Linked DNA regions of Caenorhabditis elegans. The protein of the gene in region 1 interacts with the protein of each later gene in a biochemical or structural test. Each region holds a gene or a part of one and is shown on either strand. Other genes may lie near its edges.

Region 1 (4,959 bases):
TGGAAATTATGGAATTTTTCTTCGATTTTTTGACTTAATTATGTTTAAAATACTTATATTCCAACATTGTGGAGATTCAAACATGCGACAGTGATTTAGATTTTTCAAATTTGACTCGAAATAAAAAATTCCAAAATTTTTTGAAAATCTTTATAACGAGATTCGGTAATTTCAACAGCATATGAATAGTTTTTAATAATTTCCCCATTAGTCGTAGTCCACTTTTAACTTTAATTAATAATTAAAACCATTAAGGTTTAAAACCGAATTTCAAAAAAAAATTTCGATATAGAAGACTAAGAATAAAATATAACTTTAAAGAAAGAAGTTATGAAAGTTTTTGTGAGTAAAATGAGTACCAATGTGTATTTTGGGAGGCACGGGGTTGGTGATGAACATTATGTGTTGTATTACGCATGCCATAGACCAGTTTTGCGCGGATTGCATGATCAAGTCGATTGACTTTTCGTCTTTTTCGATTAAATTGATAACCGATCCAGAATAATACTTATATAATTTCATTGAATTACAAAATTCAAATGAGTTAGTAAAAAACTAGAACATTCAGTAAAATTTCAAAGCTATTTGCAAACCACAAACTTGAAATTTGAAAAAAATCAAACATGGAAACTCTAGACAGTGTACACAGGACAAATTACACTGATTAATCTATATCAACTCGCCAAGTTTACAAAATTTCGTCGAAAAACTGATAAGCACATGCAAAAATTCGTGTGAATTGGCTCTAGATAGAAAAATATGAATTGGCTCTAGATAGAAAAAATAACTAAATCGATAATGTTTCGTGTCGTTTTCGATGTATTTTTATGGCTCGCTATCGGCAGCAGCTACCGCTTGTGGCTGTTGTTGGGCCCCTTTTTGACGAATTAGGTGAAGAGAATCGAACGGAAATGAAAATTTATATGAACACAGAGTGGAAGAGTGGTGAGAGAGAGAGAAAAGAACGAAAAGCAGGTGGAATCAACAATGAAAGTGCAAACAATTGTGCTTATAAACAATTTGGATTTGGATTTTTTTTCAACAATTTTTAAAAATTCTATTACGATGAGAAGTAAGAAATATGAATGGAATAAATAGAAGTCTGAACAAATTTTTTTGAAAACGAAAAATTGAACATTTTGTTACGAAGCGTTTTCAGGTTCTAAAGTATTATTTTTTAGGAAAAAACATTAAAAACGTCCCAGTAATCTACTTTTAATAATTTTGAACTAATTATTGAGTAACATTTAGTTTTAAAAGTTTAGAAAAAGCATGGACACTGAAAATTAAAAAAAAACATGTTTAAACAGAGAAAAAAATTTGAAAGATTAAAGGAGCGCGCGATTTGTAGCATGAGGGTCTGCCACGAATTCTACAGTTGTTCAGATCATTTTTTTTGAATTATTCCACAATCTTTCTTCTCTTTGGAATTTAATTTTTCTCGAAAGTTATTTAATTTTTCTATAAAAATGTGCATTGCAGTTTTAAAATGTTTTTTTTTTCAATTAAACGCATGAATGTGATTGGTACACGCGTGAGACGCAAGTTCTCGAAAATCTGCGATTGCGAAAGGCAAAAGTATTCATTTTTTCGAAAAAATAAACAAATTGCTCAAACTAAATTGAATATCGATCGTCTTTGCCCTCAATATTTTAAATATCACGCTTTTGAAAATTATTTCGAAATAAATATTCAGTTTCAGTGAGACTCATTCAATTGAACCTGATCACGTGCTGAAAGTCTGCTGTAACAATGAAGGTTTGTTCGTTTTCCTATCTCTACTTTAATTAAAAATAGTGTTAAGAGTAATTGTTCATTCAAATAGATTTTTTTTCATTCAGTAAAAAATGATTAAGTTTTCGGAAAGGAAGAAAACAAAACAAAAACATAGAAAAAAGTGTGCACGAACGAACACACAAAGCATATGCGTCAGTGTCTTAACCCGTCTAATGTCTCTTCATCCCCCTACACTCTCTCTTTCAGTTCACCCGACTAACACATTCAACAAGCAAACCCGTTATTGATTCAATTTTCTTTCGTAATATTCCTTTTTTATATTTTCAGAAACAAAAGTCATTTCCAATGTCTGCTTATGAGGATTTGCTCGGAAAAATCACTGCTCCAACTATCACTGTTGAGAATTGGGAGGGAATTCTCGCATTTTGTGATATGGTTCGTTCAATTTGTTTTAAAAAATGTATAAACCTTTTCACTGATTTATAGATAGAATTCTTTGTCGTTTGATAAAAAATCATATTTTAAAATTAAAATTTCCTCCTTAAATTTGCTAGCTGATTTTCACCGAAAATCATTGATTTTGGACTAAACTTAATGTTTTAGTTTAAAATTTTCAGATTAATAACGACTTCGAGGGATCGAAAACAGGAATCAAATCACTTCGTAAACGTCTCAACAATCGTGATCCTCATGTTGTCCTTCTAGCGATTTCTGTACTTGATTCGTGTTGGGCAAACTGTGAAGAAAGATTCAGAAAGGAAGTATCGTCTGCACAATTTATCAATGAACTCAAAGCTCTTTGTACATCGGTGAGTTTTTGTTTAAATCTGAAATTGTTAAACAAAATATCAAAATTTCTTTCATGAAGTTTTGTATTTCTTTAATAGATATAGTATACGCAGAAAAGAGATAAAAAAGAGAAATAGAGTTAGAAAAATAAGTATAATACGAAAATACGATACATTTCACCGCGTTTACAAAAAAAAATACAAAAATTTACAATTATTATAGAGTCAACGCCAAGTTGCTGAAAAAATGCGATTAACTGTTCAAAAATGGGTGGATACAGAATGCAAAACTGAACAATCACTGTCACTTATCGTCACTCTTCACAAAAATCTTGTTGCTGATGGCTACTCATTTGTTGTGGATGATCCAAAAAGTAAAACGAAAGCGATTGATGCAAAGTTTGCAAATGATCCGAATTATGTGAGTTGTGGAAGTTCGCGGCAATAAATATCAAAAATTAATAATTATTATAGGTTGGATCTGCTCAGGAAGAAGAAGCAATCGCAAAAGCCATTGCTGCTTCATTGGCGGATGCAGAGAAACAGGAAAAAGCAAAAAAATCAACATCCACAATGTATCCATCAGCAAAAGCAAGTAGTCCAGCAGTTCAGACTAATTCGAATATTCCGGAAAAGAATGTTCGAGCGTTATACGATTTTGAGGCTGCTGAAAGCAATGAATTATCTTTTGTTGCTGGAGATATTATTACAATTACTGATGAAAGGTAAGCAACAAAAATGTGTTCTAGTTTAAATTGAAAGCAATCGCTTAAAAATCAAATCAGGAAGTTCTTCAGTTTTTTTTTTTGTAATTTAAAATTAATCATACCGAACCTTTTCGTTACTGACTGCTTCTATCAATTATCAAAAAAAAAACAATTTTTTGCAGCAATCCCCACTGGTGGACTGGTCGTATTGGTACCCAACAGGGACTTTTCCCATCCAGCTTCGTTACTAATCAACTCGATGATCTAAAATCAAAAGAGACGGATTCATCACAGAAAGCCCCAGAAGTTGTAGCCTCAATTAATGAAGCAATCCTTGTTCGTTGTCTTCAAGTACTCCATGAATGTGATCCTACCGGTGAACGACAGGATCCAGAGGATTTGGCCCAACTAGAAGCCGCCTCGTATGCTCAAGGAAATCTCATTGATGCACATTTGGCTAGTATTGATCGACAGAGCAACTCTCTAGCACAAATCGATGTGGCTATTCGTGATGTGCTCGCACTTTATGATGATGCGATTCAGAAGGGAGGATTTCAGCATCAAAGTCAAGGAATGTACCAACAACCAATGCAACAGTACAACTATCAGCAACCAGTCAGTTTTTATTCAGAAAAAAATATTTAGAAAACTGAAATTTTTCATTCTAAGCTTCACGGTAATGCCTATCAATTCAAAAAATCGTATTTTTCAGCCAAACCGAGCATATTACCCACCTACCGGTCCTGTCCAACAACAGCAGCCACAACAATATCCTCCACAACACTATCCGGCTCCTGGAGCACAACCACAGTACGCATGCCCACCGAATTCTGTTCCCCAACCTCAACAACAGCAACAACAATGGCCTGCTCCGTCTTCACAGCCTCAACAATATTAACTTTTTGATTTGTTGTGAATATCACCTTTTCCTCCTTGAATCTGTAACTAGTTCCATTGATATTGTGATCACTTCTAACTTATTTTTCTCGATTCGCCACCCGTTTCTGTATAGTCTTTTGCTTCCTCGAGTTCTCGATAAGATAAAAATGAATTCTTTATTGAGTTTGAGGCAAATATTTATTATACACGAAAATAATCGGATAAATTGAGAAAAGGTAACAAAAATTACAAGAGGTCCGGATCAAAAGATGGCATTGAAATTGATGCATTGGCTGCTCGAATGGATCGTTTACCCCATCCACCGCCTCCCCATCCACCTCCACCCCATCCACCTCTTCCACCACCCCATCTTGATCCTCCCCATGGATCATTGTTTCCCCATCCACCACCTCCATTTCCACCCCATCCTCCATTATCTCCGAAATCGTCACGTCCCCAACCTCCACGTGGTGGTTGACGAGATGGATTAGTCTGACGAACTTGTGCAACTGGAGCAACTGATCCAGCTGTAGTTCCACACATTCTACGAAGCTCTGATTGAGTATAGCAACTGTTACAGCTTGATCTACAATTCTCAGCCATCCATGGATTTTTCTGACATTCACCGACACGAGCCCATCCGGCACATGATCTATGGTAGTCGACGCATGCTGAAATATATATTTTTTAATTATAAAAATATTTTTTTAAAAATAAAGCTTACATCCATAATTGTAATCTTCAGGATAGCAATGTCCACATGAAACTCGACAATTACATGCCATATATCTTGTATTTTTTCGGCATTCTCCCATTAATCCCCATACAGCACAGCAAACATTCTCATT
Region 2 (5,607 bases), on another chromosome or scaffold:
TCCGCAAACACTCATTCCTATTTTAGCCCGGTGAAATTTCGATATGGAGAAAAACAAAAACAAGTGTGAGCTTCCACTTCGGAATAATTTCCGGAGAATGAGAATTGTACAATTTTCTCCTATAAGACCATACAATAAAATTTTATCAGAAACATGAAGCTTTGGTCATTATCATTTTTTGTTACCCTTGAAATTTGATCACAAGGCTTTAATTTTTCATGAGACGTCAATTTTTTCTGATGATAAATAACATAGTTCAAAGTATTGCGTAATGTTTCAATTTTAACATGACACATAATAAATCAGAAACTCGAAAAACGTATTTAAATATAGATTTTGTCGGGAAGTTTAATGTGCAACTGTCTCGATATCTTTCTTTGAAAACATTTAATTTTTATTATATTTTCCAAACTGGATTCGAGAATTCTCGTATTCTTAAACAAATTTACAATGAAAATATAAATAATTAATTTAAAGGAACATGTTCTGCAATCCTCCCTGGGTCCCGCCACGAAACCGCCACGCACTACCATGAAAGGCGCGTTCGCATTCGTTCTGCCGCTCGTTTCTGTTTTCCAGATCTTTCCATCATTTTCTTCATTCATTCGCGCTCTCTCATTATCTTGAGTTGCCGGCTATTTTCGCTGCTCTCTGCTTTTTCGTATCGCTTTTTCACTCTTTCCAGCATTCAGAAAATTGCATTATTTCGGTTTTCATTTAAAAAACTCATAGCAAAGTATTTTGTTATTGATTTCGCAATACTTTCGAAAAGTATCGGAAAATTTTAATGTTTAGTCTGTGCGTTCCTCATTCCCTGTTCTCGTTGTACTCTTAACTGATGTTTTTAAATTTAGTTTTCCGGGGCTCTCTTGAAAAGACCCAATAGTCGTATTGAACCTTCGCCTGATCGCCACTAGCTCATCTTTTAGTCTTATGACGGGCTCACATGATTCTCCCCAGTGTCCTCCCGTTTTCTCACTGCACTTGTTTTGTCGTTCGTTCATCAGTACAAAGTACAAGCACTTTCGCGTCTGTCTGAAAATTGGTTCGGGTGCCGTTAGGACATTATTCATACTTTCCTGCTAGTCGCAGATTATAAAAAAATGTCCTTGACCGTCTGCTCTTTCTTATGTTCTCCCTATATATGCGTCAAACGAACAACTGACCCTGTTCACTTTTCCTATTCTTCGTTTCATCATTTTCTGTAACAAAAATGGAAACAATACTTTACACAGACGTCACTATTATTCAGGCCTATGATTTCTCTATCGTTTAGTTAAAGATGAAAAGAAACTGGTCGACCCAGTTGCATGACGAGAAAAAAGAACACCCCGTTCGATTTTCGTTGTATTCCCTCTGCACACATTGTCCCCTTCTTCCTCATCATTTCTTTCCCTACACAGCACTCTAGAATGTTCTTCTTGTGCAGAAAGAGTGCCGTTTGAGTCAGCGACCCCCCCCCCCCCCCTCCTTTCTCTTGCTCTTCCTCACTGGTTCTCGTAATAGGCGACTTCTTGCTAACAGAAAGTGAGCATAGCAACATTTTTTACTTTGTGGCCTTCAATAATACGTGCGTCGTTTAATTAGAATGTTTGAGTAAAGTTCAACGTGTAGATTCAATATTCACGTTTTGGGCGCTCTTTAATTTATTACTGTCAAGAATCAGTTTACCAAACGGTGAGTTTCTTTTTTTTTGTCTAATTGTAAGATTTAGCGGGGTAAAACCAACAGAAATGTCATGCTTTTTTGAATAATCTCAATCAGTTGTTATATGAATTATTTTCCCATTTTAGCAATACTGCTTGGTAGTTATTTTCGGTCAGAGAAACGAGGACATCAGCTGAACATCTGCGTCTCTAACAACACTCGGGGAAGGCGGAGTCAGTGTGCGCGTGCGTTGGGGGTTTTATCGATCGTTGAGGCGGGCATACAGCAGTCATACACCCCATTCGACCAGAACGCTCCGCTCGCGTGCCACCTTGTCTCCATTCTCATTTCACTTGTCTCTACTCGGACATTACTCCTCATCGATTAGCTCTTTACTACCATTTTACTTTTATGCCTTTCTTTTTTCGTTTGACTTGCCTATGACGAGTGGGGATGAAGTTTGCTTTGTTAGTCTTACTAGTGTATCGATTTTTTGGGTAATATTTCGCAACTTTCTAGGACTTTCTTTCATAATCACCTCTTCTCTCGCCTCCTCATTCCAGTTTTATTCGCACTCATTTTCTATTTTTTCAGCAATCATGCAAATCTTCGTCAAAACGTTGACTGGAAAAACTATCACCCTGGAGGTGGAGGCTTCCGATACCATCGAAAATGTCAAAGCCAAGATCCAAGACAAGGAAGGAATTCCACCAGATCAGCAGCGTCTCATCTTCGCCGGAAAGCAGCTCGAGGACGGCCGCACCCTGTCTGACTACAACATCCAGAAGGAATCTACTCTTCACTTGGTTCTTCGTCTTAGAGGAGGAATGCAGATCTTTGTCAAGACTTTGACTGGAAAGACCATCACACTTGAAGTTGAAGCTTCCGACACGATCGAGAACGTCAAGGCCAAGATTCAAGACAAGGAGGGAATCCCACCAGATCAGCAGCGTCTTATCTTTGCTGGTATGTTACATATAACAAATTTTGTTCATGAGAGACTAATTTTTTTCCAGGAAAGCAATTGGAAGATGGACGCACACTCTCTGATTACAATATTCAGAAAGAGTCTACTCTCCACTTGGTGCTCCGCCTCAGAGGAGGTATGCAGATCTTCGTCAAGACATTGACTGGAAAGACCATCACACTTGAAGTCGAAGCTTCCGACACGATCGAAAATGTCAAGGCTAAGATTCAAGATAAAGAAGGAATCCCACCAGATCAGCAAAGACTTATCTTCGCCGGAAAGCAGCTCGAGGACGGCCGCACCCTTTCGGACTACAACATCCAGAAGGAATCAACTCTTCATTTGGTTCTCCGTTTGAGAGGAGGTATGCAGATCTTCGTCAAGACATTGACCGGAAAGACCATCACCCTCGAAGTCGAAGCCTCCGACACCATCGAAAATGTCAAGGCCAAGATCCAAGACAAGGAAGGAATTCCACCAGATCAGCAGAGACTTATTTTTGCTGGTACGTTGGCAAAATATCTAATATTTGACCTAAAATTTATTATATATTTTCAGGAAAGCAACTCGAGGATGGCCGTACCCTTTCGGACTACAATATCCAGAAGGAATCAACCCTCCATTTGGTGCTCCGCCTAAGAGGAGGAATGCAGATCTTCGTCAAGACTTTGACCGGAAAGACTATTACTCTTGAGGTTGAAGCTTCTGACACTATTGAGAACGTGAAGGCCAAGATCCAAGACAAGGAAGGTATCCCACCAGATCAACAGCGTTTGATCTTTGCCGGAAAGCAACTCGAGGATGGCCGTACTCTCTCCGATTACAACATCCAAAAGGAGTCTACTCTTCATTTGGTTCTCCGTCTCCGAGGAGGAATGCAAATCTTCGTCAAGACTCTTATCGGAAAGACCATCACCCTCGAAGTCGAAGCCTCCGATACCATCGAGAACGTGAAGGCCAAGATTCAGGACAAGGAAGGAATTCCTCCAGATCAGCAACGTCTCATCTTCGCTGGAAAGCAGCTCGAAGACGGCCGCACCCTTTCGGACTACAACATCCAGAAGGAATCAACTCTTCATTTGGTTCTCCGTTTGAGAGGAGGTATGCAAATCTTCGTGAAGACTTTGACTGGAAAGACTATCACCCTCGAAGTCGAAGCCTCTGATACCATCGAAAATGTGAAGGCCAAGATCCAAGACAAGGAAGGAATCCCACCAGATCAGCAGCGTCTTATCTTTGCCGGTACGTTATATAGATATACATAACTCAAATCAACTATTATTATTTCAGGAAAGCAATTGGAAGATGGGCGCACGCTCTCTGATTACAACATTCAGAAGGAATCTACTCTTCACTTGGTTCTCCGTCTCCGAGGAGGAATGCAGATCTTCGTCAAGACTCTTACAGGAAAGACCATCACGCTCGAGGTGGAAGCTTCTGACACTATTGAGAACGTGAAGGCCAAGATCCAAGACAAAGAAGGTATCCCACCAGATCAGCAACGCTTGATCTTCGCCGGAAAGCAACTCGAGGATGGCCGTACCCTTTCGGACTACAATATCCAGAAGGAATCAACCCTCCATTTGGTGCTCCGTCTCAGAGGAGGTATGCAGATCTTCGTCAAGACATTGACTGGAAAGACCATCACACTTGAAGTCGAAGCCTCTGATACCATCGAGAATGTGAAGGCCAAGATTCAAGACAAGGAAGGAATCCCACCAGATCAGCAGAGACTCATCTTCGCCGGAAAACAACTCGAAGACGGTCGTACCCTCTCCGACTACAACATCCAAAAGGAGTCTACTCTTCATTTGGTTCTCCGTCTGAGAGGAGGTATGCAGATCTTCGTCAAGACATTGACCGGAAAGACCATCACCCTCGAAGTCGAAGCCTCCGACACCATCGAAAATGTCAAGGCCAAGATCCAAGACAAGGAAGGAATTCCACCAGATCAGCAGAGACTTATTTTCGCTGGTGAGTTCATATTGTTTTTAGAATTAAAACTAATTTTTATTGTTTTTCAGGAAAGCAACTCGAGGATGGCCGTACCCTTTCGGACTACAATATCCAGAAGGAGTCTACTCTTCATTTGGTGCTCCGTCTCAGAGGAGGTATGCAGATCTTCGTCAAGACTTTGACTGGAAAAACCATCACTCTCGAGGTCGAAGCTTCGGACACCATTGAGAATGTCAAAGCCAAAATCCAGGATAAGGAGGGAATCCCACCAGATCAGCAACGTTTGATCTTTGCTGGAAAGCAGCTCGAGGATGGACGCACTCTATCCGATTACAACATCCAAAAGGAGTCGACACTTCATCTCGTTCTTCGTCTTCGCGGAGGAGACATTTAAATCGAACCCATCAATTCACTCGTTATTCCTCCTCGATCTCCGTTCAAGTAACAATTATTTATTCTTTATTCCTTCGGGAATTTCTGTATTTTAATGAACGAGCTCTGAATAAATTCATTTTCGTGTACTCAAACGATTTATCTTTAACAATAACAAACAACAAAGATAACTACTCTATGAAGTGTAAGGTTCAACTATATTTATAGATCAGATGCTGGATTGTCCTATGAGTTGCGCTTTCAATGTCTGCGAATTGGCGTCGGTGATCAGAATCTTTGCATATTGACCAGGTTCCAAACAGAGTTTCGAATTGTCGAACACTGCTTTCACACCACCATCGATCCTTCCATGTGAAAATGATGCATCCCTTTTTGACTTCTAAAAATATTATTTTAATTCATTTTATTGGTGTTTATAGATGACTCACTCCTTCCAACAAAACCGTCTGTTCCGACCCGATAAGCGCTTGGTTCAATTTCAATGCTTCTTCCCGAAATACAGTAGTCAAATCTAAATGTCTTCTTGCTTTTACATCTTCTGGAACATCGTCTGTTAACCGATGATGTGCTCGCGTTTTCTGAAAATAATCTGATAGGAACAATTTTCAGCAACTGACTCACTCCACGCATACTGTAGGGGAAAA

Evidence for each region.
Region 2: the proteins of stam-1 (region 1) and ubq-1 form a complex in vitro, tested with the Caenorhabditis elegans proteins (one study listed by BioGRID).

The regions. Positions count from the first base shown.
Region 1 is NC_003279.8:5,901,433-5,906,391, reverse strand, and holds stam-1 (Signal transducing adapter molecule 1), read left to right. Parts: upstream 1-1,696; 5' UTR 1,697-1,752; coding exon 1,753-1,758; intron 1,759-2,064; coding exon 2,065-2,172; intron 2,173-2,354; coding exon 2,355-2,546; intron 2,547-2,748; coding exon 2,749-2,946; intron 2,947-2,999; coding exon 3,000-3,250; intron 3,251-3,414; coding exon 3,415-3,847; coding exon of another isoform or gene 3,848-3,877; intron 3,878-3,944; coding exon 3,945-4,130; 3' UTR 4,131-4,287; downstream 4,288-4,959. Other genes in the region: tyr-4 (ShKT domain-containing protein), read right to left, coding at 4,358-4,782, 4,836-4,959.
Region 2 is NC_003281.10:5,938,745-5,944,351, forward strand, and holds ubq-1 (Ubiquitin-related), read left to right. Parts: upstream 1-2,241; 5' UTR 2,242-2,246; coding exon 2,247-2,613; intron 2,614-2,663; coding exon 2,664-3,119; intron 3,120-3,172; coding exon 3,173-3,856; intron 3,857-3,904; coding exon 3,905-4,588; intron 4,589-4,638; coding exon 4,639-4,964; 3' UTR 4,965-5,083; downstream 5,084-5,607. Other genes in the region: F25B5.5 (CDK5RAP1-like protein), read right to left, coding at 5,172-5,342, 5,392-5,541, 5,585-5,607. UniProt on the Caenorhabditis elegans protein: Ubiquitin exists either covalently attached to another protein, or free (unanchored).